Linked DNA regions of Canis lupus familiaris. The protein of the gene in region 7 interacts with the protein of the main gene of each other region in a pairwise test. Links are inferred from orthologs where the notes say so. Each region holds a gene or a part of one and is shown on either strand. Other genes may lie near its edges.

What was found.
Region 1: the proteins of CCNDBP1 (region 7) and ZGPAT interact in binary tests that used the Homo sapiens proteins (3 or more experiments, as listed by UniProt). The two-hybrid records come from large-scale screens. The link is inferred for Canis lupus familiaris from reciprocal best matches to the Homo sapiens genes CCNDBP1 and ZGPAT.
Region 2: the proteins of CCNDBP1 (region 7) and myelin P2 protein interact in binary tests that used the Homo sapiens proteins (3 or more experiments, as listed by UniProt). The two-hybrid records come from large-scale screens. The link is inferred for Canis lupus familiaris from reciprocal best matches to the Homo sapiens genes CCNDBP1 and PMP2.
Region 3: the proteins of CCNDBP1 (region 7) and MRPL15 interact in binary tests that used the Homo sapiens proteins (3 or more experiments, as listed by UniProt). The two-hybrid records come from large-scale screens. The link is inferred for Canis lupus familiaris from reciprocal best matches to the Homo sapiens genes CCNDBP1 and MRPL15.
Region 4: the proteins of CCNDBP1 (region 7) and STK25 interact in binary tests that used the Homo sapiens proteins (3 or more experiments, as listed by UniProt). The two-hybrid records come from large-scale screens. The link is inferred for Canis lupus familiaris from reciprocal best matches to the Homo sapiens genes CCNDBP1 and STK25.
Region 5: the proteins of CCNDBP1 (region 7) and C10H22orf23 interact in binary tests that used the Homo sapiens proteins (3 or more experiments, as listed by UniProt). The two-hybrid records come from large-scale screens. The link is inferred for Canis lupus familiaris from reciprocal best matches to the Homo sapiens genes CCNDBP1 and C22orf23.
Region 6: the proteins of CCNDBP1 (region 7) and PSMB10 interact in binary tests that used the Homo sapiens proteins (3 or more experiments, as listed by UniProt). The two-hybrid records come from large-scale screens. The link is inferred for Canis lupus familiaris from reciprocal best matches to the Homo sapiens genes CCNDBP1 and PSMB10.

Annotation. Positions count from the first base shown.
Region 1 is NC_049245.1:48,113,882-48,117,007, reverse strand, and holds the end of ZGPAT (zinc finger CCCH-type with G patch domain-containing protein), read right to left. Parts: intron 3,055-3,126; coding exon 2,899-3,054; intron 1,762-2,898; coding exon 1,642-1,761; intron 1,554-1,641; coding exon 1,154-1,553; intron 902-1,153; coding exon 763-901; 3' UTR 501-762; downstream 1-500. Other genes in the region: LIME1 (lck-interacting transmembrane adapter 1), read right to left, coding at 150-321. UniProt on the Homo sapiens protein: Transcription repressor that specifically binds the 5'-GGAG[GA]A[GA]A-3' consensus sequence. Represses transcription by recruiting the chromatin multiprotein complex NuRD to target promoters.
Region 2 is NC_049250.1:29,194,816-29,198,833, forward strand, and holds the start of myelin P2 protein, read right to left. Parts: upstream 2,801-4,018; coding exon 2,728-2,800; intron 1,028-2,727; coding exon 855-1,027; intron 379-854; coding exon 277-378; intron 1-276.
Region 3 is NC_049250.1:6,005,020-6,009,000, reverse strand, and holds the start of MRPL15 (39S ribosomal protein L15, mitochondrial), read right to left. Parts: upstream 2,801-3,981; 5' UTR 2,718-2,800; coding exon 2,610-2,717; intron 1,091-2,609; coding exon 936-1,090; intron 126-935; coding exon 1-125.
Region 4 is NC_049246.1:51,486,373-51,489,565, forward strand, and holds part of STK25 (serine/threonine-protein kinase 25), read right to left. Parts: intron 2,572-3,193; coding exon 2,341-2,571; intron 1,587-2,340; coding exon 1,530-1,586; intron 1,059-1,529; coding exon 950-1,058; intron 482-949; coding exon 324-481; intron 238-323; coding exon 52-237; intron 1-51. UniProt on the Homo sapiens protein: Oxidant stress-activated serine/threonine kinase that may play a role in the response to environmental stress.
Region 5 is NC_049231.1:27,710,968-27,713,370, reverse strand, and holds part of C10H22orf23 (UPF0193 protein EVG1), read right to left. Parts: intron 831-2,403; exon of another isoform or gene 343-830; coding exon 160-342; exon of another isoform or gene 1-159.
Region 6 is NC_049226.1:82,145,633-82,149,722, forward strand, and holds PSMB10 (proteasome subunit beta type-10), read left to right. Parts: upstream 1-1,290; 5' UTR 1,291-1,430; coding exon 1,431-1,486; intron 1,487-1,713; coding exon 1,714-1,801; intron 1,802-1,883; coding exon 1,884-1,981; intron 1,982-2,103; coding exon 2,104-2,244; intron 2,245-2,467; coding exon 2,468-2,583; intron 2,584-2,678; coding exon 2,679-2,737; intron 2,738-3,377; coding exon 3,378-3,529; intron 3,530-3,651; coding exon 3,652-3,763; 3' UTR 3,764-3,822; downstream 3,823-4,090. UniProt on the Homo sapiens protein: The proteasome is a multicatalytic proteinase complex which is characterized by its ability to cleave peptides with Arg, Phe, Tyr, Leu, and Glu adjacent to the leaving group at neutral or slightly basic pH.
Region 7 is NC_049251.1:10,350,662-10,354,161, reverse strand, and holds part of CCNDBP1 (cyclin-D1-binding protein 1), read right to left. Parts: intron 3,144-3,500; coding exon 3,062-3,143; intron 2,308-3,061; coding exon 2,211-2,307; intron 2,035-2,210; coding exon 1,961-2,034; intron 1,386-1,960; coding exon 1,309-1,385; intron 1,012-1,308; coding exon 731-1,011; intron 1-730. UniProt on the Homo sapiens protein: May negatively regulate cell cycle progression. May act at least in part via inhibition of the cyclin-D1/CDK4 complex, thereby preventing phosphorylation of RB1 and blocking E2F-dependent transcription.

The DNA.
Region 1 (3,126 bases), on a different chromosome or scaffold from region 7:
CCTCACTTCCTGCTGTGCATCTATCTCCTGCATCTCCCTCAGCCACTCAGCCGTCGCCATCACAGCCTCACCCACTGGCTGCAGCCCGCGCGGGGTGCAGACGCTGCCTGGTTGGGGTGTGCGGCGGGCCAGCGCTGCTCCGAGCCTACCTCCGGGCGTCTCCACCCACCATGAGCTGGGCCGGCGTGGGTCACGGGCCGGGGCAGCCTCGAGGCCTCCAGAACCTGGGGCTTCCTCCGGCCTCAGCAGCAGGGCTTCCCAAGGGCTCTTCACCGACCACGACCCCTTCAGTCCCACACATTTGCGGGTGCTGGGCAACATGGGCGGCCCCCAAGCTGCGACCCAGCTCGGAGCTGCTGGCGGAGCCCCATCAAGACAGCAGAGGACGCCTGCCTCCGGACAGGGGCCAGCGGGCTCTCGCAGGGCCCTCCCGCCGGCGCCCACGGGCCTGCGCAGGGACCCCTCTCCCCCGAGGTCCCACAAGCCAGCCGAGCCTCCAATGAAAGACACCACAACACAATCACTTTAATGTCCTCGCTGAGGAGACCCCCCGAAACACTGGCGGGTGGGCTCAGTGGCAAGGAAGTGTCCAGAAGGGAGCCCTGCAGCCCCATGTCCTCTCAGCAGTGTCCGCTGGCCGTGGGGTGTAGCCTGGGAGCAGGCCAGCCCCTCTTCCAGGAGCATCTAGTCGGGTGACAGCTGGTCTCCCCGAGGGCACCCGGGAGCTGGGGTCCCTGAGCCCCGTCCACGGCACACAGGGCTCTAGAACTCGGTCATCTTCTTGTGGGTGTCTGCTTTCCTCTGTTCCCGCTGCAGACCCGCCTCCTGGGCCTGGAGCTGCCCCAGCTCCCGCTGGGCTCCCGCCAGCCTCTCCTGCAGCTGGGCCGCCGTCACACTGTGCCTGAGGAGGAGCCTGCCGTTCAGCACGAGCTGCTGGGCCACTGGCACGAGGCCCCCACACCCGTGGCCACGGCCCTCCTCCTCCAAGCACCAGACCCTCCTCGGACAGCCACCACCCTGGGGTCAGCGCGCGCTCCAGCTCACGTGCAGGCGAGAAGGCACAGCATGGAAAGTGGGCAGGAGGCCCACGGCAGGGCTGAGGCATCGACACCCAGGGGGCCGCCCCCTGCCCCAAGTCTCGCCCCACACGTACCGGCCGGTGTTTCGGGCGAGAGCCTTCTGGATGCCCCGGATGTCCCGCTGGGTCTGCTCGATCTTCTTCTCCGTCTGGAAGAGTCGCAGGCCCAGGGCCCGCTTGGCACTCCTGCTGGCATGGTACATCTCCTTCCCGCTCCTCCTCCCTGCGGGGGCCGCCGCAGCCTCCAGCGCCGCCGGGGTCCGGCACTGCAGCTTTTCGTTCAGAAAGTCAAACACGCTACGAGGGGGAGGGCGTCCACCCCCACTGCCCTGGCCTTTCGGGGGCCTCCGGGCGCCAGCCTTGCCGCCCTTGGTCCTCTTCTGCAAGATCTCTGCGCACTGGTCCAGCGACTTCCCTCGAGGCAGCACCACAGCGTGGATGGGCTCCACCCGGCCCTCGGCATGCCGGCCCAGACCTGGGGGCACACGGGGCTGGCGCTACCGCTGCTGGACCCGAGCCCCGCTGTGCGGCCCCCTCCCCTCCCCAGGGCGGCACACACTCACCCTTGCCAAACTCGTAGCCCATCTTGGCAAGGAGTCTGGAGCCGATGCCCCGTGTGTGCACCTCCCAGCCAGCGAAAGCGGAGCTGCAGGTCCCGGGCTCGGCAGCACTGGGTTCCACCACTGTAGGAAACAGGGCAGTGGCTCGGCCCCGCTGGACGGGGAGCACCCTGGGCTCCAGCCAGTGTCAGCCCGAGAGCTCAGCTCCGGGCCAGGGTCGTGGTGCCCTGAGCCTCAGGCTCTCCGGTGATTGCCCAGACCTGTCACCGGCACGTGACTAAGGCAGGACTCACGGCAGAGTCTGGCGCAGTCTGCTCCAGCCCCCCCACCGCAGGGCCAACCTCCCCACCCGAGCCCTCCCCTGACCCACCTTCTCAGGCGGTGAGCTCCCCTCTTCCCCCCGTAGAAAGTCCACGACTTCGCGGCTCAGTCCTCCCCTCCACCACCGTGGACATGGGGGTTCAGGAACTACCACCTCACCGGACAGATTCCACAGGAACGCCTCCCCTCTCCATCCTACCTGACCCCTTGGGAGGGCTGGACGCCCTCAGCCAGTTACCCTTCTTTTTTTTTTTTTTTTTTTTAATTTTTATTTATTTATGATAGTCACAGAGAGAGAGAGACAGAGAGAGGCAGAGACACAGGCAGAGGGAGAAGCAGGCTCCATGCACCGGGAGCCCGACGTGGGACTCGATCCCGGGTCTCCAGGATCGCGCCCTGGGCCAAAGGCAGGTGCCAAACCACTGGGCCACCCAGGGATCCCCCCCAGTTACCCTTCCTGAACAGCTCCTGCCCCGGCTCTCTCGACACAGCCTCCCCTCTAGCTACTAGGTGTCCCCACGTGGAGACCACTGGAAGGAGCCGCTCCTTCCTGCCCCCATGCCCCGCCGGTCCCTCGCACGCCGACCGGCCAGCCCTGCTTCAGTGGACACGGCTTCGGCCTGCGGGGTGTGGAGCTGCGATCATCCCGTGTGCTCCCTGAAGACTAGGGCCGGGTCATTCCATCTGCAGGCCTCAGGGCCCGCCCCAGACTCCACACGCTCGCTCTCATTTGCCCCCAATGCCTGTGGCGGGCTTCCACGTGTCCTCAGTCACACGTGCCCCTTCTGAACACAGTCTGCCTCACTGCCCCCATACTCTCCAAGGATGTGGTGAGAGGGTCACAGGCCCTGCCAGCCGGAAGCCTCTCGGGGTGACTGCTACCGACACTTCCCCTTGCCCCACTTTCCTGGCTTCTGGGATCCTGAACTGCCGCCATACCTCTGGCATAGCTGGGGTCATCTGGGTCGCCACTGTCTGAGTCTGAGGATCCCGTGGGGTCTGTGCGCAGCGGGGGCAGGATGCTGTCCCCCTCTACCACGGCCTCCTTCAGCAGCAGTGAGTCAAACTTGACGGTGTAGTAGCCATTATCTACATCTAGAGGCAGGGAACAAAAGACAGGCCAGCTCAGTGGCCTCAACAGGTGGTAGGAACCACATTGGGAGTTAG
Region 2 (4,018 bases), on a different chromosome or scaffold from region 7:
AGACTTGCTTTTCTCTTTGTAAGTCCAAACTGGTGAGATTTATCCATATTCTTTGACTTTACCATTATTTTTAGGCGTTCTTTCTAAAATTTTGGACCAATACTTGAAGTACTTATAGATGAGTCTTCATGGTTGAAATATCATCTAACCGTTAACTCTGACATTATTACTTAGCCATTTTTAACCATTTGTATTGCAAAGAAGAAAATCTTGAAAATAATATTACACATTTCTTTAATACCATTATTTTGTATTTAGAAGTGAAACTACTCTTACCACTACCATTTTCCCATCCACCAACTTTCTTTTTATTGTTGTCTCTTTGCCATCCCATTTCTGCACTTGATTCAATGAGCCTCTTGACAAGGTTACAATGCTCTGCAAAGACAAATTCATATAATCGAGTTGTTTGGATTTTGGTTGATCAGAGAAATTCATTCACTATTGAATTGTTTTCATAATAGATGTCTCATGAAGCACATTCATTTTCTGTTGTATTTATTTATTTATTTATTTATTTATTTATTTAGATTTTATTTATTCATGAGAGATACAGAGAGAGAGAGGCAGAGACATATGCAGGGGGACTTGATCCCAGGACCCAGGGTTGATGACCTGAGCGAAAGGCAGACGCTCAATCCCTGAGCCACCCAGGTGCCCCTATTTTATTTATTTTAAAGTAGCCTCCACACCCAACATTGGAGTCAAAATCAAAATCCTGAGATCAAGTAAGGGGCCTCAAAGGCACATTCATTTTCAATAGAACAGAGTGGTCTACCCTTTTGAACACTAACAGGAGTAATCCTCTCAAATCCTAGAATGAGCCAACTTTGAAGAGAAACATTAAAATTTACCTTTGCTTTCCTGTTGTCAGCTGTGGTTTCTTCAAATTCCTGACCTAACTTGAAGGAGATCTCTGTATTTTTGAATGTACTCTCAGTTCTTATAGTTATAATATCCCCTTTCTTGCTGATGATCACACGGGGTTTGGCTAAATTTCCCAGTTTTCTGGTGGCTAACCCCACACCTAAAAATCAAGATAGAGTTAGAATTCTTTTGACAAAGAGTTATACCTAGAGAGTCTGTGAATGGCCACATTCTGTGTTCAGTTGTGCCTCAGATGTGGAGATGGCAGGTAGTATCACTGACTCCTGAGGACCTCCTCCCACATTTCACCACCTAATGGAAATACCTGCCCATAGACTTAAATATTTTAGGTTTTATTATTACAATAATAATGTCTGCAGATTTTAAAGAAAAATGCATTTAACCTAAATAGTTCAAGTCATCCACTTTTACCACATCCAACCCCACAGTCCTTGAAAATCACCAATCTTTTGTATGGATCATTCCAGACATTTTAGTTTCTACATATAACTATTACAGGTATTTTTAAAATGAGACTATGACAGATACCCACTATTCTATGATTTCTTCTCCTCAGTAGTATATTACGGATATAGAAAAGAATTCCCCTCACATCCTTAATAGAATCTCGTTGCTGAAATTTTGTCATGGCCCCTAAGCTTAGCTGGTAGAAAAAACTACCCATCTCCTTTCAAGATCTGTACCATTATACATGATCATAGTTAATGTGATTTTTAAAAAATGTTCTGCATTTGAAAAATGAAACAAAATTAGACTCTTGGGTTTTATTACTATTATTACTAAGACTATAGAAACACATGGAAAAGGAGAAATGTCAAATGAGAGAAAAAAATGAAGGAAAAACTAGTTTTATATACGTATAAAAAACTAGTTTTATGTGTATATATGATCTCTGCAGTAGGGTCTGAAAATGTACACTATACTAAACTCCCAGGTGATCTTATGCATTCTAAACTTGAAAAATGACAGAATTACGGAGTCTTTCATTGACGCTCTTGTATTTTTGCTTCTTCCTCAGCTATGAAGTCAAGTCCATAAGTCTATCCAGTTAGTATGGATCTTCCCCCATAATTTCTAGTAGTTTTCTAGGCAATATGACATGATTTTGCTCATTTTACTTAAAAATACAACCTTTCTCATAAGCTTTCTGAACAGGTAAGGAAAGTTACAGGCACTTTGACAAGCATAGCAACCAGGATCATTGGAATCTCTTCCTACTATATTTATACAGCTCTGGAAATTTCCAAAGATACTTCTCACCTATTGTCCTCGTGTCATGGAACATTCTCTAGAGATAGTATAAAGTTGATAAAACTTATAACTAGATTTTTCCATCTTCATCCATTGCTCCAACTCCAGGAAGGTCTGATGTTAGCCTAACATCAGTAATTAGTGTAAACTTCTGGTTTAGTCAAACACCAAAATTTTAAGTTGGAGTTTCTATTAACGTTAGTATATTCAACTACTTATTTTATGAGAACTTCAGCTGTTATAAAATGAACCTTCAGGAAAGCCAGAGGATGGGTTGACTAAGCCTCTAAAATTTCTTTCCTCTAAAATCAAAGTCTTACTGATACGAAACTACCTTATCTGAAACCACCTGTGAAATCAGTAGAGGTTCCATACAATTAAGCAGCTCTTAGGTTAAAATCTATTAATATTTCCACAAAGTGTACTAAATTATTGGAATGACACAATAGAAGATTAATTGCAGGAAAGGATTGTACTTCAGCCTGTGCAAACTTCCCCAGAGTCCTAGAAAAGGAGTTAGAAGGATATAGTCATGCAGTCTTCTCAAAAAGGATCTTCTCAACCAGAGCAACAAGGAACATTTCTTACCCAGAGCTTTCATGTAATCATCAAAGTGCTCACTGGAGACAAGTTTCCAGGTGCCCAGGAATCTGTTGCTCATGGTGACGGATGACAATTCAACACACTTCTAGATGAGACTTAGGAGACTCAAATGAGATGTTGAAGCCTCAGAAGATTCTTTTCAAAGATGTCCAAAGCATGTGACTCTCACAAAGACCCAATGGGGAAAAGCAGTGTCAGGACTGGGCAATGAATTATCCAGTAGGACAAAAGAAATCCCTACATAATGTTTCCTTTAGTCTCCAAAAATTTTTATAAAGATCAATGAGAGTACTCTTTGGATGTTCAAAAAAATTTTTGGTCGATCTTACATTTTTAAGAAGTGCTTAGTCTTTAATGCTTTGGAAAAGACCCCATGAATTGAGTCCTATATACCAAACTAAATTATATGAGCATGAATGAGAGAGAGAGAGAGACTGAGACTGTGTGTGTGTGTGTGTGTGTGTGTGTGTGTGTGTGTGTTTAGGCATCTTGGTCACTCCCAATCCTGAGTCTGCACAATTAAGAATTCTTATTGAAAGAGAAGAAAGAGAGGAAAATGTCCATGAGTATTGTGATAACCGCCTCAAATATGTTGTGGGAGAGAAATGCAGGGAAGCAGTGTGAGGAAGTATTCATAGGTAAGGGAGGCTTGGCATAGTTCACATATCCCAGGCAGGCAGAGTAGGCGACAATACGGTCAGTCTATTACAGCAGAGCACAGAAATTGTATTCATAGGATGGATAAGAAGTAGCACTAGAGCGTGATCTTTGACCACAGCAAAGATTTCCATCTAAAAAAAACCCTTAAGTCCAATTTAAGCAGGCCCTTAGTTAATACAACTACTTTGAGTTTAAGCCTTTAAAATAAAGCTTATAAAGAGTTTTATAAAGAGAAGGATTTTCTATACAAAGAATACTAGTGTATACTAAGAGCTTCTTATGAGCCAGTCGCTATGCTAAGTGCTTATTACCAATTATTTCATTTAATTATCTCAACATATCCAAGAGTTAGGTACTATTATTATATCCATTTTGCTGATGAGAAAACTGAAGCTTGGGGAGGCTAGGTAACTTGCTCCCAAGCTTCTCATTCTCTCGAATGAGTAAAAAAACAAGGTTTGAACATGACATTGTTCTCCAGCCTGGACCCTGGATAATGATCTTACACTGCTCCGTATATACCACATATGCAGAAAGGTGTTGGCCAAAGGTCAGATGATGCTGACATCACCATGACTGGATAGAGACTTTCATTCTCTGCCCCCAAATCAAGAAA
Region 3 (3,981 bases), on a different chromosome or scaffold from region 7:
GGATGGTCACACCTCTCCCATTGACAAGTTGAGTTAGGTCAATAGGTTGAGTAGGATCCACGCGACCCAAATCAATAAGATATTGCAATCTATTGAGACTCAAAGGCTGATACTGGCGTCTGAAGCTACAAAACAAAGTAACAACTGGAGAACTCAGTTAAGCTTATCTTCCTGTAAATTCTTCAAATCAACTCAAATCAACTTTGCCCTGTATTTTCCTGATTTAGCTAATGTAACAAAACCCTCCTGAGTACAACAGAAACACTTAATATTGCTTTTTGCTAATGAAACAAAACTAGTACTTCGTTTCATTAAAAATAATTTGCCTCTCTAGGCATTTACTTACTCATTCAAACAAATTTGTCAAAAATTTAACCCTTCATTCGAATGATGTATTAATGGAACTCAAAGTAACAAGCATAGTTTTCCTTTACTGAATGACTATAATTGTCCAGATGTTTACATATATTATTGCTCAGCCTCTAACCAACCATAAGAGCAGGCATTATTATCTCCATTTGCAGGTCTGAATACAAAGAAAGTCTGGGTTTTTTTCCCTCCTGCTAATCCAGCCTAAATTTCATTAACAAAAATGGTTCAGAGAAATGGCAACAAAAGTCTGCTTCAAAGTGAATTTCAGGGCAGCCTCTGTGGCTTAGCAGTTTAGCACCTCCTTCGGCCCAGGGCGTGATCCTAGAGACCCAGGATCGAATGCCACATCCAGCTCCCCACATGGAGCCTGCTTCTCTCTCTGCCTGTGTCTCTGGCCACCCCCACTCTGTGTGTCTCTAATAAATAAATAAAAATCTTTTTTTAAAATAAAAATCTTAAAAACAACAACAACAAAGTGAATTTCAATTTCTATCAAGCTATTTTTATAGGTGATTGTCAGTGAAAATTAGGGATTTTTACTTGAAAAAGCAAAGCAACTTTACCTATGACCTTCATTAAACCCGTATTTTGGGATTCGAATGTAAAATGGGGTTTGGCCTCCCTCAAAACCCAGTCTGGGCCGGGTTCCTCTCTGCCGCTCTCCTTTATGGCCTCGGCCACATTTTCTACCTCTTCTCCGACCTCTTCGCCGTCTTTCCTGAGGACAGAAAAGAGTTTTGTACGATCTGCATTTTTAAAAAACTGTATTTCATCTTTTCACTTGTGTATTTTTTTGTGATGCCATTCATTTATCCAATTAACCAGTACCAGCTAACACTACTCTGTGCCAAGCATTGTTTACTCTAATCCCTACTTTTAGGTTAGCATCTTTGCCTCTGAAGATGTAGCAAATCCTTGTAACCAAAGCCCAAGTTATGTTTAAAGGCAAAGTTCCAAGGATGGGATGGAGATAAAGGTTCTATGATACAGGATGCCTGGGGGACTGAGTGGTTGAGCCTCTGCCTTCTGCTCAGGGCTGATCCTGGGGTCTTTGGTCTCTCTGTCTCTCATGAATGAATAAATAAAATCTTAAAAAAAAATTCTATGATAGACTGCAATGGAAAAAAATCCTAGAATCAAACATCCCCAACAAACAAGGTTTATACGATATTCCAGAACCTTTATTTTGGAATTGTAAATACTTTATTGTTATGCAAGTAAATAACGTTATTGAAACGTTAATTAGTAAAGAAAGTATTTTTCTTAAATTAACTTCCTCTTACTTCCTAAAAGCAAGTGATTTTTTTAAAGGAGTTTGTCCCCGCGACTGGCTGGTTGGGGGGGGGGGGGGGGGGCTGCGACTCTGGTTGTAAATTAGAGCGCACATTAGGTATAGCGATTATTCGGTTAAAAAAATAATAATAAACCCTTTAAAAATTAAATAAAATGCTAATATATCAACTAGCAGCTTTCCTAGCGGATTCATGATTCGCAGAAGAGACATCTACCATAATCAATCAATTCGAATCTTTCCCATGAAAATAAAGATACCAGGGAATGTATTTCATTTTAAATATTTTGTGGGGGCTTTTTTTTTTGCGTGTGTCTTTTTTTCCTAAGATTTAATTTATTTATTCACCGGAGACCCAGAGAGAGGCAGAAACACAGGCAGAGAGAGAAGCAGGCTCCCGGCGCGGAACCCGATGCGTGACATCCCGAGACCCCCGGGGTCACGCCCTGGGCTGAAGGCCAACGCTACAGCTCTGAGGCACCCAGGCGCCCCTTCGATACAATTTTGATAGAAACAATCATTTTATAGTTTCTGCGACTTCAGTCCTCCGCCCTAGTTAACATAATTGTGCTTTAAGATATAAAAGTAAGAATTAGGGGATCCCTGGGTGGCGCAGCGGTTTGGCGCCTGCCTTTGGCCCAGGGCGCGATCCTGGAGACCCGGGATCGAATCCCACGTCGGGCTCCCGGTGCATGGAGCCTGCTTCTCCCTCTGCCTGTGTCTCTGCCTCTCTCTCTCTCTCTCTGTGTGACTATCATAAATAAATACAAATTAAAAAAACAAAACTAAACTAAGAATTAGGACCCTACGGGAAGCCGCTCTTCAGTGCAATTGAGAACAAGGCACCCAACCCCCTTCTGGAAAGGAGTCCCCGAGAAGGACGCGGAGCGAACGGCCGCTTCCATGTCCCGTCCCCAACGCTTCCGCACCGCCTCCAGCCATTTACCGGTTTCCTGGAGCCTGGATTCGGTTTTAGGTTGGCCAAGCTCACACGGGGCAAGGCCCGGAGCAGGTCCAGGGTTCTTGCCCCGCCGGCCTGCACGGGACCCGCCATCGGAGGGCCCACACCCTCCCCGGCGCCGCGGGTCGCCTCGGAGCCCACGTGGTCTCGCGGCGCCGCTTTACGGCCGCGGCGCCGCCCCTGTCGCACCGCAGCAGCTTCTGAGCCTCGAGTCGCGCGGCGCGCGGGTGCGGGAGGACGCCCGGGGCGAGCGGCGCGGGGTTTGGGGCGTGCGGGAGTGTCCCGGCAGCTCGGGAGGTTTGCAGTCTTGTGTTAGGGCTGCGCTACGTTTTTCCTGTTTTTAGTTCCCTGGGGACGTGAGCTCCCCTCGCTAGAGATCGCTCCTTGACCTGTCTCTGAACGTACCCGGTTTTCTCCCCTTCGTAAAAGCACACATTGAAAATGTAGGCGTCTGAGTCAGCGCTAGGCCTCGCACGTTGTGGGGACCTGCCCTTATGAGGCAGGGTTCTCCGAGCTCCGTCTGGAACCCGGAATAAAAGAACTTGAGCTCTAAACCATTAATTTTGAGCTTCATTTAATAACACGCCGTGAGACACGAAGATAGGCCGAGGTCTAGCTTTTCCAGTGCCCGGCTAGGGGCGCCCGGGTGGCTCCGTAGGCCGAGCGGCGGGACTGGCGGGGTGGGCGCAGGTCGAGAGCCCGGAGTCTGGGCTGCGCACCGCCCCCCCCGCCCCCCTCCTGCTCAGCGGGGGGTCAGCTTGGGATTCTCTCTGCCCTTCGCCCCGCTTGAGCGCGCGTGCTCTTTGTCTCGAGAATAGATCTTCTAAAAAAAGTTTGTCTAAACACCTGCTTAGGGACGCCTGGGTGGCTCAGCGGCTGAGCGTGGGCCTTCGGCTCAGGGCGTGACCTCGGGATCCCGGAAGGGGAGCCTGCTCCTCCCTCCTCCCTCTGCCTGGCTCTGCCTCTCTCTCTCTCTCTCTCTCTCTCTCTCTCTCTCTGGTCTCTCATGAATAAATAAATAAAATCTTTAAAAAATAAAAATAAAATAAAATGCCGGCTTATACCAACCTGTGAATAAGACTCGAACTATGTGTTCTCTTCCCCGTGTATCTATGAGATAATGCCCCGACCCAACCCCTGAGATAACTTCACTTATTTAATCATGTTAGGAGCTGTGTGGAGGGCTCCGTGTGTGTCAGACGAGACGCATTAGTTAGCCTAATTCGATTTGTCTAAACGACCAGCCCTAGATGTAGATATTTCTATTTTTTTACAGACTGAGAAGCTAAGGCTTGGCAAAGTTAGTTGGACCAAGGTCCGACAACAAACGATCATAGCCAGGTTTCAAATTTGCCTA
Region 4 (3,193 bases), on a different chromosome or scaffold from region 7:
GGAGCCCCGCCGCAGAGCCGCCTCCCAGCCGGCCCAGGGAGCAGGGCTTACGAATCGAGGGTCTTTGTTGAGACAGGCTTCCACGAACTCCTTGAAGGGCTTGCTGTGGTGGCCCTCCAGGGTGGGCGGGCTGTTCTTGGGGATGAGGAACAGGACGCGCATGGGGTGCAGGTCCGAGTTCGGAGGCTCGCCCTTGGCCAGCTCGATGGCTGTGATCCCCAGCGACCAGATGTCGGCCTGGACAGAGAGCCATGCGGCACCGTTGCTACCCGGAGCTCCCCGAGCCGTGCCGCGGCCACCCTCCCACCCGCCACCGCACCCACCTTGAAGTCATAGGCCGACTGCTTGATGACCTCGGGTGCCATCCAGAAAGGCGTGCCCACAAACGTGTTCCTCTTGATCTGCGTGTCCGTGAGCTGCCCCGCCACCCCGAAGTCTGCAAGCTTCACGTCCCCCTGCTCCGAGAGCAGCACGTTGGCAGCTGCTCAACACAGGACAGCACGTGTCACCCTCAGGACCACGCAGGCCCCGGCCCGCACACGGCTGCCTGAGGAAGCGTGGCCGTCTCTTCCCGGGACCTTGGCTTTCCTCTCCAGCCGACGGGCCAGAGACCCGGGGCCACAGGCGCTGCAGGCGGGCAGCCGCCAGTGCGAGGAGCCCCCGTGGGCACCCCCGGCAGGGTTCCAGGGCCTTCCCGGCGTTTGCCTTCTATGACAAACCCAAGAGCAGAGCCACAGCATGGCCAGCAGAGGGGACCGTGACCCCTGCCCTCACGCCCCCCCACGCCTCCCCAGGTCCACACTTCCGGTTTAAAGAGGTCCCCTCTCCCACAAGGTGCAAGGCTAGTGTTCTCATCGCACGGGGACAGGAGGCCCTCAGCGCCCAGCACCCCCCCTCCCTGCCACCTCACGCCGTGGCACTCTAGGGGCAGGATGGGGGGCACAGGGACCTTTGATGTCTCGGTGGATCTTGCGCTCTGAGTGCAAGTAGTCCAGACCCTTCAAGATCTCCCGCAGGATGGTGGCGATGTAGGTCTCCTCCAGGGGGCCAGGTTTAAGCTGCGGGCAGAGCGGGGGGCAGGCTCAGCACCCCCACCGACACACCCCGGCCCTTCTCCTGCGCTGTTCCACGTTCCTCGCCCGGGCCCTGACCTGACCCCGCTCTACCAGGGGCAGGGGCCCTGCCGCGTGCAGGGGCCTCCTGTTCCCTCAACTCCTGAAATAAATGGAGCTTCGCACACTGAGCGGGGAGCGCGTACGCGGCTTGCTTCTTCATTGCAAAGCGGGGTCCCAGCCGCAGCACCCGGCCTGTTTGCCTGGGGGCGCCAACCAGCCCGTGGGCCCAGGACCACAAACACACATCGTCTGGCTTAGATGGCTCCTAACTAATACGTGATACGCCAAGACAGCAGAGGAGAGGCACCCAGGGGTCCTCGGGTCCAGGGCTGCCGCGGCACAGCGCCCACAGCAACCTCCTTCGGTCCGCTCCTGCCCACGGCAAGCTGCCCCCCGCTGCGGCCTACACCTCACCAGGTCCAGCGCGGAGCCGCCGCCCAGGTACTCCATGATGATCCACAGCTTCGTGCTCTAGGACCAGAAAAACACCTATCAGCACGTGGCGGAGAGCAAAGGGGCACGGCCGGGCCCCCAGGGCACACTCTCCCCAGCAGGGCGGACTCGGGCCCCTGGCCCCTCAGGGACCCCCATGCAAGGGCCCAGCAGCCTCATCCAGCCCCCTCCCATCACACCCCCACGCAGCCACTTTGCAGATGGTCCAGGGGCTGGGTCCACTGTGCCGAGACCCCATCAAAAACCAGACCGGGAAGATGGGAGGCCCAGGTGGCCCTCGGCTTCTGTGGACCTGCACCCCAGGTAGCCCCCTTCCCCTGGGCAGCCCCCCAGGAGCTGGCCTCAGGCTCCGGCTGCAGGGGTCCCAGAGTGGCCCTGGCACGGCTCCCCAGCGCCTGCCCCACGGGGGCTGCCCCAGCTCCGGGAGAGATGCCGCCAGCCAGCAATGGGTCACTGGCCACTTCAGAGCAATTAGACCCCACTCCTGACCCACACGCCCACCTGGGCCTCAGGGCTGTTTTCTGGGGGCAGCTGTGAAGCTGGGTCTGCGCTCAACTGCCTAGGCCTCCCGCCCCTCAGACCAGACCTCTGCTCCCCACTGGCCCCCGGGGGGTCGCCAGCCCAGGCTCTGAGCAGGATTTTCTGACCCTGCGGAACACTAGGCATCAGCACTGTCCTCTCAGGGGGCGGGGGGGGGGGCGCCAGGCACGGCGGGGCGCGGCACGTACCCAAGCGCAGCCCAGCACAGAGCAAGCCCCCTCCCTGCGGGCACCTTCAGGTAGGAGCCGAAGTAGCGGGTGATGTAGGGGCTGTCGCACTGGCTCAGCACGGTGATTTCCTGCTGAATGTCCTCGATCTCGTCCTCGGCCTCCTCCAGGTCGATGATCTTGATGGCCACCACCTCCTTGGTACGGTTGTCGATGCCCTTGTAAACCTCCCCAAAGGAGCCCTTGCCGATGCGGTCCAGCTTGGTGAAGAGCTCCTCAGGGTCCACGCGTGGGTGCTGCGGGGACACGGGGGCGGGCCGTCAGCAGAGCGGCAGCACAGGCTGCGGGGACCCTGCGGCTGGGAGGTGGCGATCCCAAAACGAGGAGCCGGGGAGCTCACCACGTTCTCTTCTCCTTTCTTCTTTTTTCACCTTTTGTTCAGAAAAACTAAACGTATCCTCCGCCCAGAGAAAAGAGCCTCCGAGACACGCAGGCCCAGGCAGACAGGACGGCTCCCCCACCCACAGCCCACCGTGGAGAGGACCAGGTGCCGCTCACTGACCACATGACGGGGGAGCGGGCAGGGAGTGGGCACTTGGGGCCGCGAGGCCACCCCGTGACAGCGGGACGGCACCCAGAGCCCCTCGTGGACCACGGGTCCGGCGGCTGAGAACACCCCACGCTGCCACCCGCCTGGAACCCACACACGGCACGAAGCAGGACTCAGGATGCTAGCGGCAGGGGGAGCCCAGGGCCGAGGGGCGGACCGGCGCCCGCCTTCCCGAACCCCGGGAGAACCCTTAAACAGCAAAGTATCAATCAGAATATGAAGCCGGCCCGCGTGGTGGTGCCAGGAGGCCACGGCCCAGGAGGGGCTTCCCTTTGCGGCCCTCAGACCCCTGGGCCACGAGCTGCAAA
Region 5 (2,403 bases), on a different chromosome or scaffold from region 7:
CACCCCCAAGCTAACAAGTGCCAAGGTTCAAGCACATTAGTATAAACAGCATGAGGATTTGATTAGACACCTGCTCACCTGCCCTGTGGGCTGCTTGCCCCACCCCTGGCCCCTTGGGGAAGGAGGTGGAAGAGGGGCTCTCTAGGCCCTCTCACTTACGGGGGGCTTGAGGCTTGAATGGCTCCCTGCTGTAGGCCCCATTGGCTTGGCACATGCTGGCAGGCCGGAGGTGGGGCCGGGCCGCCAGGATGGGAGGCAGGTAGATGGTCGAGGTTGTCTGTTTGGAAGGCAAGACCCTCTGGCTGGATGTCGGGCTGCACTGTAGGGGCAGAGTGTCTCCTCCTAGGGAAGGAAGGTTTGGGTGAGGGGCACCTACCTGTTTTTTTTTTTTTTTTTTTTTAAATTTATAAAAATGATACCTGCCTGTTAAAACAAGTCAAACAGTATAGAGTCTTCCCTTCTCTCCTCCAATCCCCCACCCCCACCCACAATGAGCAATTGTTAGGATTTGTTGGTCTTGTTCCATACTTTTTAATGTTAATACAAACATGTACAAAGATACATGGGTGTATATGACATTCGTGTTTCAAACACTGGATCATACTCTATTATATTCAGTAATAGACTCTTAACAATTTATCATGGACAACCTTCCAGATCACTCCATTTATATATAACTTATTTTTTAAAACTATATACTAGTTCTTAGAATGGATACATTATTTATTTTATTCAACTAGTCTCCTAATTTCAGAAATTCAGCCTTTTTCCCCCTTCCCTTTTTTTTTACTACTTCAAACAATGCTGCAATAAACATTCTTGAGCATCAAGCCTCTATACTGGTGCTTTTATTTCTATAGATGGATTCCTAAAACCTGCTTGGTACATAGGTGGGAAGGGATGGTTTGGATGGTATACACCAGTCCTGCCTACCATCCACGCCCACTGTCTTGGCCTAGATCTGGGGCTCCTCCTCCAGACCAGCTGAATGTGTTACCTCCTATCTGGTTGGCTGATCCCTCCTCTCATTTGCCCCAAAGCCCATCTCAGAGCAGGCCCCACCTGTTGTTTTGATCTGGCTCCCATGTATCTGTTCTGTGTGTCCAACCTTCTGTCATCCACCCAGCAAATACATACTGAGCATCTGCTCTGTGCCAGGCCCAGGACATTGGGGGTAAAGTGGTAAGTAAGACAAAGTCCTGCCCTCGTTGCACTTACATTTGGGGTTGGAGGGTGTGGATGATGATTAAGTAAATTACATAGTTAGATTGTGACAGTACAGGGATGGAATGGAGTACGTCAGAGCAGGATTTACAATTTTAAATAGGGTAGGCAGGGAAGGACCTCACCAAAAATGGTGGTGCAGAGACTTTGGGGAAGAGCATTCCAGGCAGAAGGAACAGAGCAAAATTTATGAGGTGATAATGTGCCTGGGGTGTCTGAGCAACAGCCAGGAAGCTAGGATGCCAGCAATGGACTGAACAATGCAGGGGTATAGTGTGTGTAGAGGTGTGTAGAGGTCAGAGGAGAGGCACAGCAAGAGAAGTAGACAGCCTTGTAGGCCTTTGGAAAGACTGGCTTTTCCTTTGAGGTGGGAAGCCATCAGAGGGTTTTGAGCAGGAAAGTTACATGATCCTTTGGCTGCTTGCCATTACTTCCCACTAACCCTCCCCTTCCCACAGCCTCTACCTAGAGCCACACCAAGGCTTTCCTATTCTTCCCTAAAGAGATGCTGTGCCTCCTAGAATGTCCCTCCTTCTCCCTCTACTCTCTATTTCTGCCTGTCCAGTGCCAAGTGCTACCTCCCTCTATGGCCTATCCTTGGCAGATGATTAGGGCCCAAGTAATTCCGGGAGTTCAGATGAAGGAGAGGCATTTGTGGCTTGCAACAGAATTCGAATGATGCCTCAAAACAAAAAGTAAATTTGGTTAGGAGAAAAGGAGGGGGTTATAGAAGAAAGCTGACTCAACACCAACACTTGGAGGCAAGTTTTTTAAAAAAGATGATGAAGTGGGGGCCTGGGTTGGCACAATTGGTTAAGCATCTGACTCTTGGTTTTGGCTTAGGTTGTGATCTCAGGATCGTGGTTTGAGCCCCATGTCAGGCTCTGTGCTGAGCTTGGAGTCTGCTTGAGATTCTCTCCCTCTGCCCACCCTCATTCTCTCTAAAATAAATCTTTAAAAATCAATCAATCAAAAGAACACTCAGGAGAATAAAACTGTCAGCCAAACCAGTTACTTACCTTGGTTTCTCCACTAATGAAATCAGTTCTTCAGTAAATATCCAGCACTGGGCACTGGGGCTACTGTGGTGAACATGGCAGACATAATCCTTGGTCTCCAGGAATTTAAGTGGAATTTCTAGCACCTTCTTTTTGTAGTCATGCTACAGGGGGCACTATG
Region 6 (4,090 bases), on a different chromosome or scaffold from region 7:
AGGGCTCGATCCCACAAACCATGAGCCAAAATCACAAGTCAGATGCTCACCTGAGCCACCCAGGAGCCCCCCTAGACAGGGCCTTTTGAGGGCTAAGTGGATATCAGAAGCACAAGAGTTTTTAGAATCTGAGGGAGAAACAGCCCCTAATCAGATCATTTCTCTAATGATGGTGTAATTAAGGGAACTAAGTGGTCTGAGAGAAAAGTTTAGGGAGCACCAAAGGGCTGAGTCTTGGGGGGTCAGGGAAGGCTGCCCAGAGGGGATGGTGCCTATTCTGAGATCAGACGGGATGAGAAAGGTCATGTGGGCCGCTATAACTTGGGTTTTTTTTTTTTTTTTTAAGATTTATTTATTTATTCATGATAGACATAGAGAAAGAGAGAGAGAGAGAGAGGCAGAGACACAGGAGGAGGGAGAAGCAGGTTCCATGCCGGGAGCCTGACGTGGGACTCGATCCCAGGACTCCAGGATTGCGCCCTGGACCAAAGGCAGGCACTAAACCGCTGAGCCACCCAGGGATCCCCTATAACTTCGGTTTGAACCTAAGAACAATAATGCAGTTGCTGAGGGGGTTAACCAGATTTTCAATCTAGGAGACCCTTCTCTGGAAGGTAAAGCTAGCCCGAGGCAGGGACTGAGGAGCGGGAAGCTTGGGGAAGCCAGGAAAGGCAGTGCGGTATCCAGAGGGGACAGGATGCTCGCGGAGACTAACGCGGTAGTTAGGAGAAAGCTGCCAATAGATAAAGGGTCATTTGGGAGGTGAAATAAGGCTTGGCCATGGGTAGAGCCCAGCATGCCTCCAAGCCACGAGATGGGCAGCCCCACAGCACCCCTCTTGTGAGAGGGAAGATAGCACCCGAGACACGGAAGGTCACCATGTGTCACCACGGTGGATAGAGCCTTGGTGTTTCAGATTTCAGGGAGGAGGCAAAGGCAACAAAAGAGCTGAGGGAGAAAGGGCGCCATAGGACAAAAGGCAGCCATGCCTGATGCTGTCGGGAGGCCAGGACTAGACACCTGGCCAGTGTGACAGCCTCAGGATTGAGGGACTTGAAGTCAGAGCTGGGATCGGGATCCTCAAAGCTAGGGCTCAGGCTGGAAGGCGGAGGAGCTGCTAACATCCCCCGACCCAGGCCTGACCCAGATGGAGCTGTCTGTCCCTCTGTACAGACTGAGGACTAGGGAGCAGGATGGAAAGCCAAGCGAGGACATCTCCCCTTTGACAAGCTGCCTGGGACCAGAGGCAAAGGTGAAAGTGAAAGAAGATGCAGAAAGGGGCCAGCCAAGCTCAGGAAAGGTGAAAGCGAAACCAGGAAGCCCCGGACCAGCCAGGCGGGTGCGGGACAGAGGACCCGGCTTGGGCCTTTCTTGCTCCCCGCTGGTCGCACAGAGACCCCCAACCCCTGGACCACCCTGCCCACCTGGAGATGCTGAAGCTGGCGTCAGAGCCCCAACGGGGCTTCTCCTTCGAGAACTGCCAGAGGTGATGGGGGTGATGGTCTAGAGCTGAGCTGCTATGCTCTCCCCGAAGGCCTCGGGCACCGACACTCCAGGGCCTTTATTCCCGGTGGGGGCGGAGGGGCGGCAGGGTGTGCTGGGCGACTTGGGTTGCCAGGCTCCCGCCGCTAGACGCGGGCGAGGCTGGGACGTAGTTGGAGGATGTGATGCGGCCCCAGAACCCCAACCTGGGCCACTCCACTCCGTTTCCAGAAACGCATCCTTAGAACGCGTCCTCCCGGGGTTCCGGATCCCTCGTGCACACAAGACCGGAACCACCATCGCGGGCCTCGTGTTCCGAGTGAGCAGGGACTTGGGCCTGGGGGCTTGGAGGGGCTGCTGGGGGATCCAAAGCCACTGGGCCAGCGACCCTCTCCCACCAGGATGGAGTCATCCTGGGCGCGGATACGCGGGCCACTAACGACTCGGTCGTGATGGATAAGAACTGCGAGAAGATCCACTTCATCGCCCCCAAAATCTAGTGAGAAATCCCCAACCCCGACCCCCTACTCAAGACCAACCCTGCCGCCGGCCCCCCCGCCCCCCGCCCCCGGCCCCTGCTTCTCCGGGCCCCACCCACACCGAGCCTCCACTCGTTCTCAGCTGCTGTGGGGCTGGAGTAGCCGCGGACGCCGAGATGACCACGCGGATGGCGGCGTCCAACATGGAGCTACACTCCCTGTCCACGGGCCGCGAGCCCCGCGTGACCACGGTCACGCGCCTTCTGCGCCAGACCCTCTTCCGGTGCTGGGGCCGGGCTCAGGCGGCCCCGGGGACGGGCGCGGCCGGGGGGCGGGACTGAGGGGAGCTGGGCCGGGCGGGGGCGGGGCGGCCAGAGCCGGGACCGGAAGGGGCCGCCCCAGGAGGAGCCGGGCGGCCGGAAGGAGCGGCGCTGCCCCGGTCGCCAGCACAGGAAGGGGCGGGGCCCGGGCCCGGAGGCGGGGCTGACCACGCCCACTCCCCCCAGGTACCGGGGCCACGTGGGCGCGTCGCTGCTGGTGGGCGGCGTAGACTTCTCGGGACCGCAGCTCTACAGCGTGCACCCGCACGGCTCCTACAGCCGGCTGCCCTTCACCGCCCTGGGTGAGCGCTTCTCCCCTTTCCCTGCGGCCCTGGCCTCGCGTTCGTCCCGCGACTGGGTGGCCACGACCGACCTCAGATGCCCCTCCTGCCCGCAGGTTCCGGCCAGGACGCCGCGCTGGCGGTCCTGGAGGATCGGTTCCAGCCGAACATGACGGTGAGCAACACCTGTCCCCCACGACGTGTTCACTGACGGGAAGCGCACGCGGGAGTTGGGGTAACACACAGGGATCCTAGTAGAGGTCAGGGAGGGCTTCTTGGAGGAGGTGACGATTGAGTGGAGGCCGAGGGGCCAGTGGAATCAGAATGAAGTAGTGCTATTCCAGGAGACGATCATCAGCGCCAGAGTTTGAACTGCCCGGAGAAGTCAAAGCTCAGGACCATGTGAAGCTGAGGGAGGAGGGAACGGCAAGTGGGGTCTGGAGTCCCGATTCTGTTTGAGGTGGGATGGAAGTGAATGACAGGTGTTGCTTCAGAGGCGCCTAAGGCCCGGAAGTGAAAGAGCAGTGAGCTGGTAGTTTGGGGACCGAGACGCATTGGTTGGGGGGACAATCCTGGAAGCAGAACCGTAAGTGTAAGAGAAGTTTGTGAACATGGGACAGTGAGACAGTCTCTGGAGAGAACGAGGCAGAGGCCAGGGCAAGGGAGTCTGGGCTGGCTGGGGGAATAGGGAATAGGGGTCTGGGTAGGAGCAAATGGTAAATAGTCTGGGCTTTGAGATGAGCAGAAACCTGTAGGCTGTAGGCTGAAGGGCGCCAGCAGGGTCCGGCAGGTCTCCCCCACACGTATCGTCACAGCTAGAGGCTGCGCAGGAGCTGCTAGTGGAAGCCATCACTGCTGGGATCCTGGGTGACCTCGGCTCCGGCGGCAGTGTGGATGCATGTGTGATAACGGGGACCGGCGCCAAACTTCTGAGAACATTAAGCTCCCCCACAAAGCCCACAGAAAGGTGGGAACTTGGGAAATGGGGAGACCACTGGGGAGGATGGGGCAGTAGCAGGGCAAATGGGGGACTGCAAGATGGACTATATGATGGGCCCAAATTGAGAGGCTGTCCTTCCCTTCTCCCAGACCCAGCCAGTACTACTTTGCCCCTGGGACAACAGCAGTCCAGTCCCAGACAGTGAAGCCACTGACCCTGGAGCTGCTGGAGGAAACTGTGCAGGCAATGGAGGTGGAGTGAAGTGGGATGATGCTTAGGGCTTGGAACAAGGAGGAATAAACATAGAAAATAGAAAAACACCTAAGCAGATGGCTGTGTCGTTCCTGGGTGGAGAGGGGACAAGCAGCCATCAGGACTCTGGCTAATGTACACCTGCAGGTGCCACTCCCTGCCGTGGCTCCAGTGCCTGGCCTAACAGGTGGCTTCACCCATCACCTCAGGCATCTACTCCTCCGGAACCCCAGCCCTAGCAAGCACGGCAGCTACAGGAGGGGAGCCCCCTGCCGACTCCACACTGCAGAGGTCCCCTGCTGCTCCAGTGCCTTGCTCTTGCCCTCTAGTCCACCT
Region 7 (3,500 bases):
ATTACTCAGCTATTAGAAATGACAAATACCCACCATTTGCTTCAACGTGGATGGAACTGGAGGGTATTATGCTGAGTGAAGTAAGTCAGTTGGAGAAGGACAAACATTATATGTTCTCATTCATTTGGGGAATATAAATAATAGTGAAAGGGAATATAAGGGAAGGGAGAAGAAATGTGTGGGAAATATCAGAAAGGGAGACAGAACGTAAAGACTGCTAACTCTGGGAAACGAACTAGGGGTGGTGGAAGGGGAGGAGGGCGGGGGGTGGGAGTGAATGGGTGATGGGCACTGGGGGTTATTCTGTATGTTAGTAAATTGAACACCAATAAAAAATAAATTAAAAAATAATAATAATAATAAAAATAGAAAAAAAAAAATAAATATTATTGTAATCAATGTTAAATTTCTTGGATGTAATAATAAGAATGTTCTTAGGAGATACATGCTGAACTATATATGGGTGACATGTCATTGATGTCTGCAACTTACTCTCAAATGGTTCAGGAGAAAAATAGCACATCTATCCATAGAGAAATAAGCCAATATTGGAAAAAAAAAATGTGAACAACAGGTGAATCTAGATGAAGGCTATATGGATGTTCACTGCAATACTTTTTCAACTTTCCTGTAGGTTGAAAATTTTCAAAAAACTGGGAAAAGCTTGGGGTGACAGCACAAGCTGATATTATATGCTGATGCTCACATTTCAAGTGGGGATCCTGCTTACCTAGGACTGATCTCATCAGAAATATCCACAATGTCGTCCAGCTGGGCCACCTGATCCTTCTTACCATTCTCTGCCACTGAGATCCGGATTTTCTTCAGGCAGGCTTTGGATGCTCTCACCAGTGCAAGGCACGGGATTATGAGCTCTTGATCTTCTTCTGACCAATATAAGTCCCGATTGTTTGGATACCCCAACCCATCATTCTCTTCATCACCATTGTTGTCAGAGTTGTCCTCAGTGTCATTTAAGAGGCCACAGTATGGGTCACATTCTTCTACGGCCTAAGACATGCCAAAAAGAAAAAAAAAAAAGAGCCTATTATACTTACAGCATCATATCTAAGCTATCCCAAAAACGTCAAGCCAGCTACCAACGGCCACCAATTTGAATCACTTCCTAAACTCCGTTCTTACTCTCCTAGCCCAGTAATGGACAGAGAGGAACGGTACTAAAACACACAGTGGCATGGGCTAGAAGATGGGAGTTGAAATCCAGGAGTGAGGATGGGATTTATTGAATCAATGCCCAGGGCATCTCCTTCCTTTATAGTCTCATCTATCATGGAGTTGTCCCCTCACCTGCTCCATTTCCTCATGTGCATCCTTCACAAAATCCACATTCTTCGTCAGCATTGAAAGGGCTGCAGCTTTGTTATCTATGAGTGAAAAATCAGAAGCACTAGAATTAGAGAAGAAACCTCAAAATTCTGTCAAGCCTGCAAATGACAACCAACAGTGTTCGCATTTGAGGAGAGTACCCAGGACAGTCAACAAGAGCGTGGTCTAAAGTAAAAGTTTTCTAACACCCATCCTCTGGGTACTCAGATAGGAGTTAAAAAGCTTTTCATCATTCACCACAAGAAGAAACAAAATGGTCCCTTGATGTTTCTCATTGTGGTCTTCTTGGACGAACACTGTTTTTGATCTAGCTGGCACTATCTCCTAAGTGCTTCAGTGTGTCCCATAATACTGCTCCTGGGGCAGGACCAGGAGAACAAACCACATCTGTTCAACTATATAGGGCTACAGAAAGAGGGCTAAAAAAAGTATAAGAACTAAAAACACTAAGAAAAAATATTAATACTTCTCTTTTGATATTGGTGATAAACTCTATGTATTCCACTAAACTATAAAGTAAAATACTTACATGTCACAAAACTAGAAATGAGATATGAGAGAACTGTCTGCCTTGGCCAGCAGAGTCAATGGCCCGTTTCCAGTTCTTACCCACCTTTTGGTATTCGAGGTACCTGCTGGCATGCAGTCCAGACACTGTTGTAGGAAATAAGGTCACTGTTCTCTAGGCTGGAGAAAGGAAATCAATAAGGATATATCAATAACCAAGGTTCTTCTTTCCTAAAAATCTCCTTCCTGCGAGTCATCATTCACAGCTGTTAGTAACTCTTGTTGAAATGAGGTTTTTTCCCCTCCCTGAAGCAAGGAATCCCATTAACTGACAACCCAAACTATGGCATCACTACCTCTGAGCTGGAGTTATGAAAAGCACATCCACAAGTTGAGCCATTCCATCTACGATGTCCAGAGTGGCATTCCGTACCAGCTTTCTCAGGGTGATTCCTAAAGAAACCCAAAGACTAAGTAGCCTGGTCTTCTTTCCAGAAGTCACCATCTGCTTTCTCAAGAGTTTAAGCCCTTTAGAACTTGAGGTAACATGCACCCACATGCTTGAATTGCAGTGCCAACACAAAACTCAAGTCTTATGTATTTCCCCATATCATTTTCTTGTTCCTCCCACTGAGTGCTGAATGAGAAAGATCTGAAACAAAATCTTTCCATGACAGCATGTATATATTCATTAAGGTTAATGGTCTCTTGATAACTGTGGATGAAACACTTGAAGTTTAAACCATCTGTGACTAACCCTGAAGATCCAGGAGACACGTATTCATTTATAATTTTGGCACAATCATAATCAAAGCATTAATTTATGGGCAGGGACAGAGGTCATTTAACCTGTAAGGGAGCTCAGAAACAGGGTGGGATGTAATATGGGTGGAGGAGACTGGGGAGGCCCCTATAGATCCAGCATCCATAGTCGTTAGAATGAGTTAGAGATGGGGTAGCCAGTAAGAATTAAAAGCCTTACAGTCAGGCAAAGCAGGGAAGATGGTAATACAGCATCCATACCTTAGCATAAAGGCTTATTTACGGATGTCACTGATGTTATAGAATTACCCTTGAGTGCATTTTATGGGAGAAAGTTACATTACATGCTCAAATTGAGGAAAAGGTAAAAGTTTCAGGACAGAAGCTGTCATATTAGCAAAGATATACTCTATAACCAAACATTTCTGTATATACATTGGCTTACCTTGATCCTTGGGAAGTGAATAGTATACTGTAATGATTTCCTTGATGGCAGTATGGATTTGTTCACAGAACCTCTGGGTTTCCTATGAGGTGATGGGTCAATTTCAGAATAAAAAAAAAAGAAAGAGATTAGATTCATCAGCCCCCCCCCCAAAAAAAAAGATTCATCAGCCCATCTACTGTAGAAGAGAGTAGACATCTGTACAGTATGATCTACAAACATTTTCTGTAGTCCTTTTAGTTAGGCTTTGTGCTATTCTTGCCGTATAGCCAAGAGTAGTTAGCTGGACATCAGAGAATGAGGTGACAACTCAAAAAAAGCATTAAGAAACAGGAGGAAATCTTATTGCTAATACTCTGTATCTTGAGATATTCATGATCTACTGTGAGGTATTCACTGTATCTTAGACCAGGAGATGGCAACTGTGGCCTATGGGCCA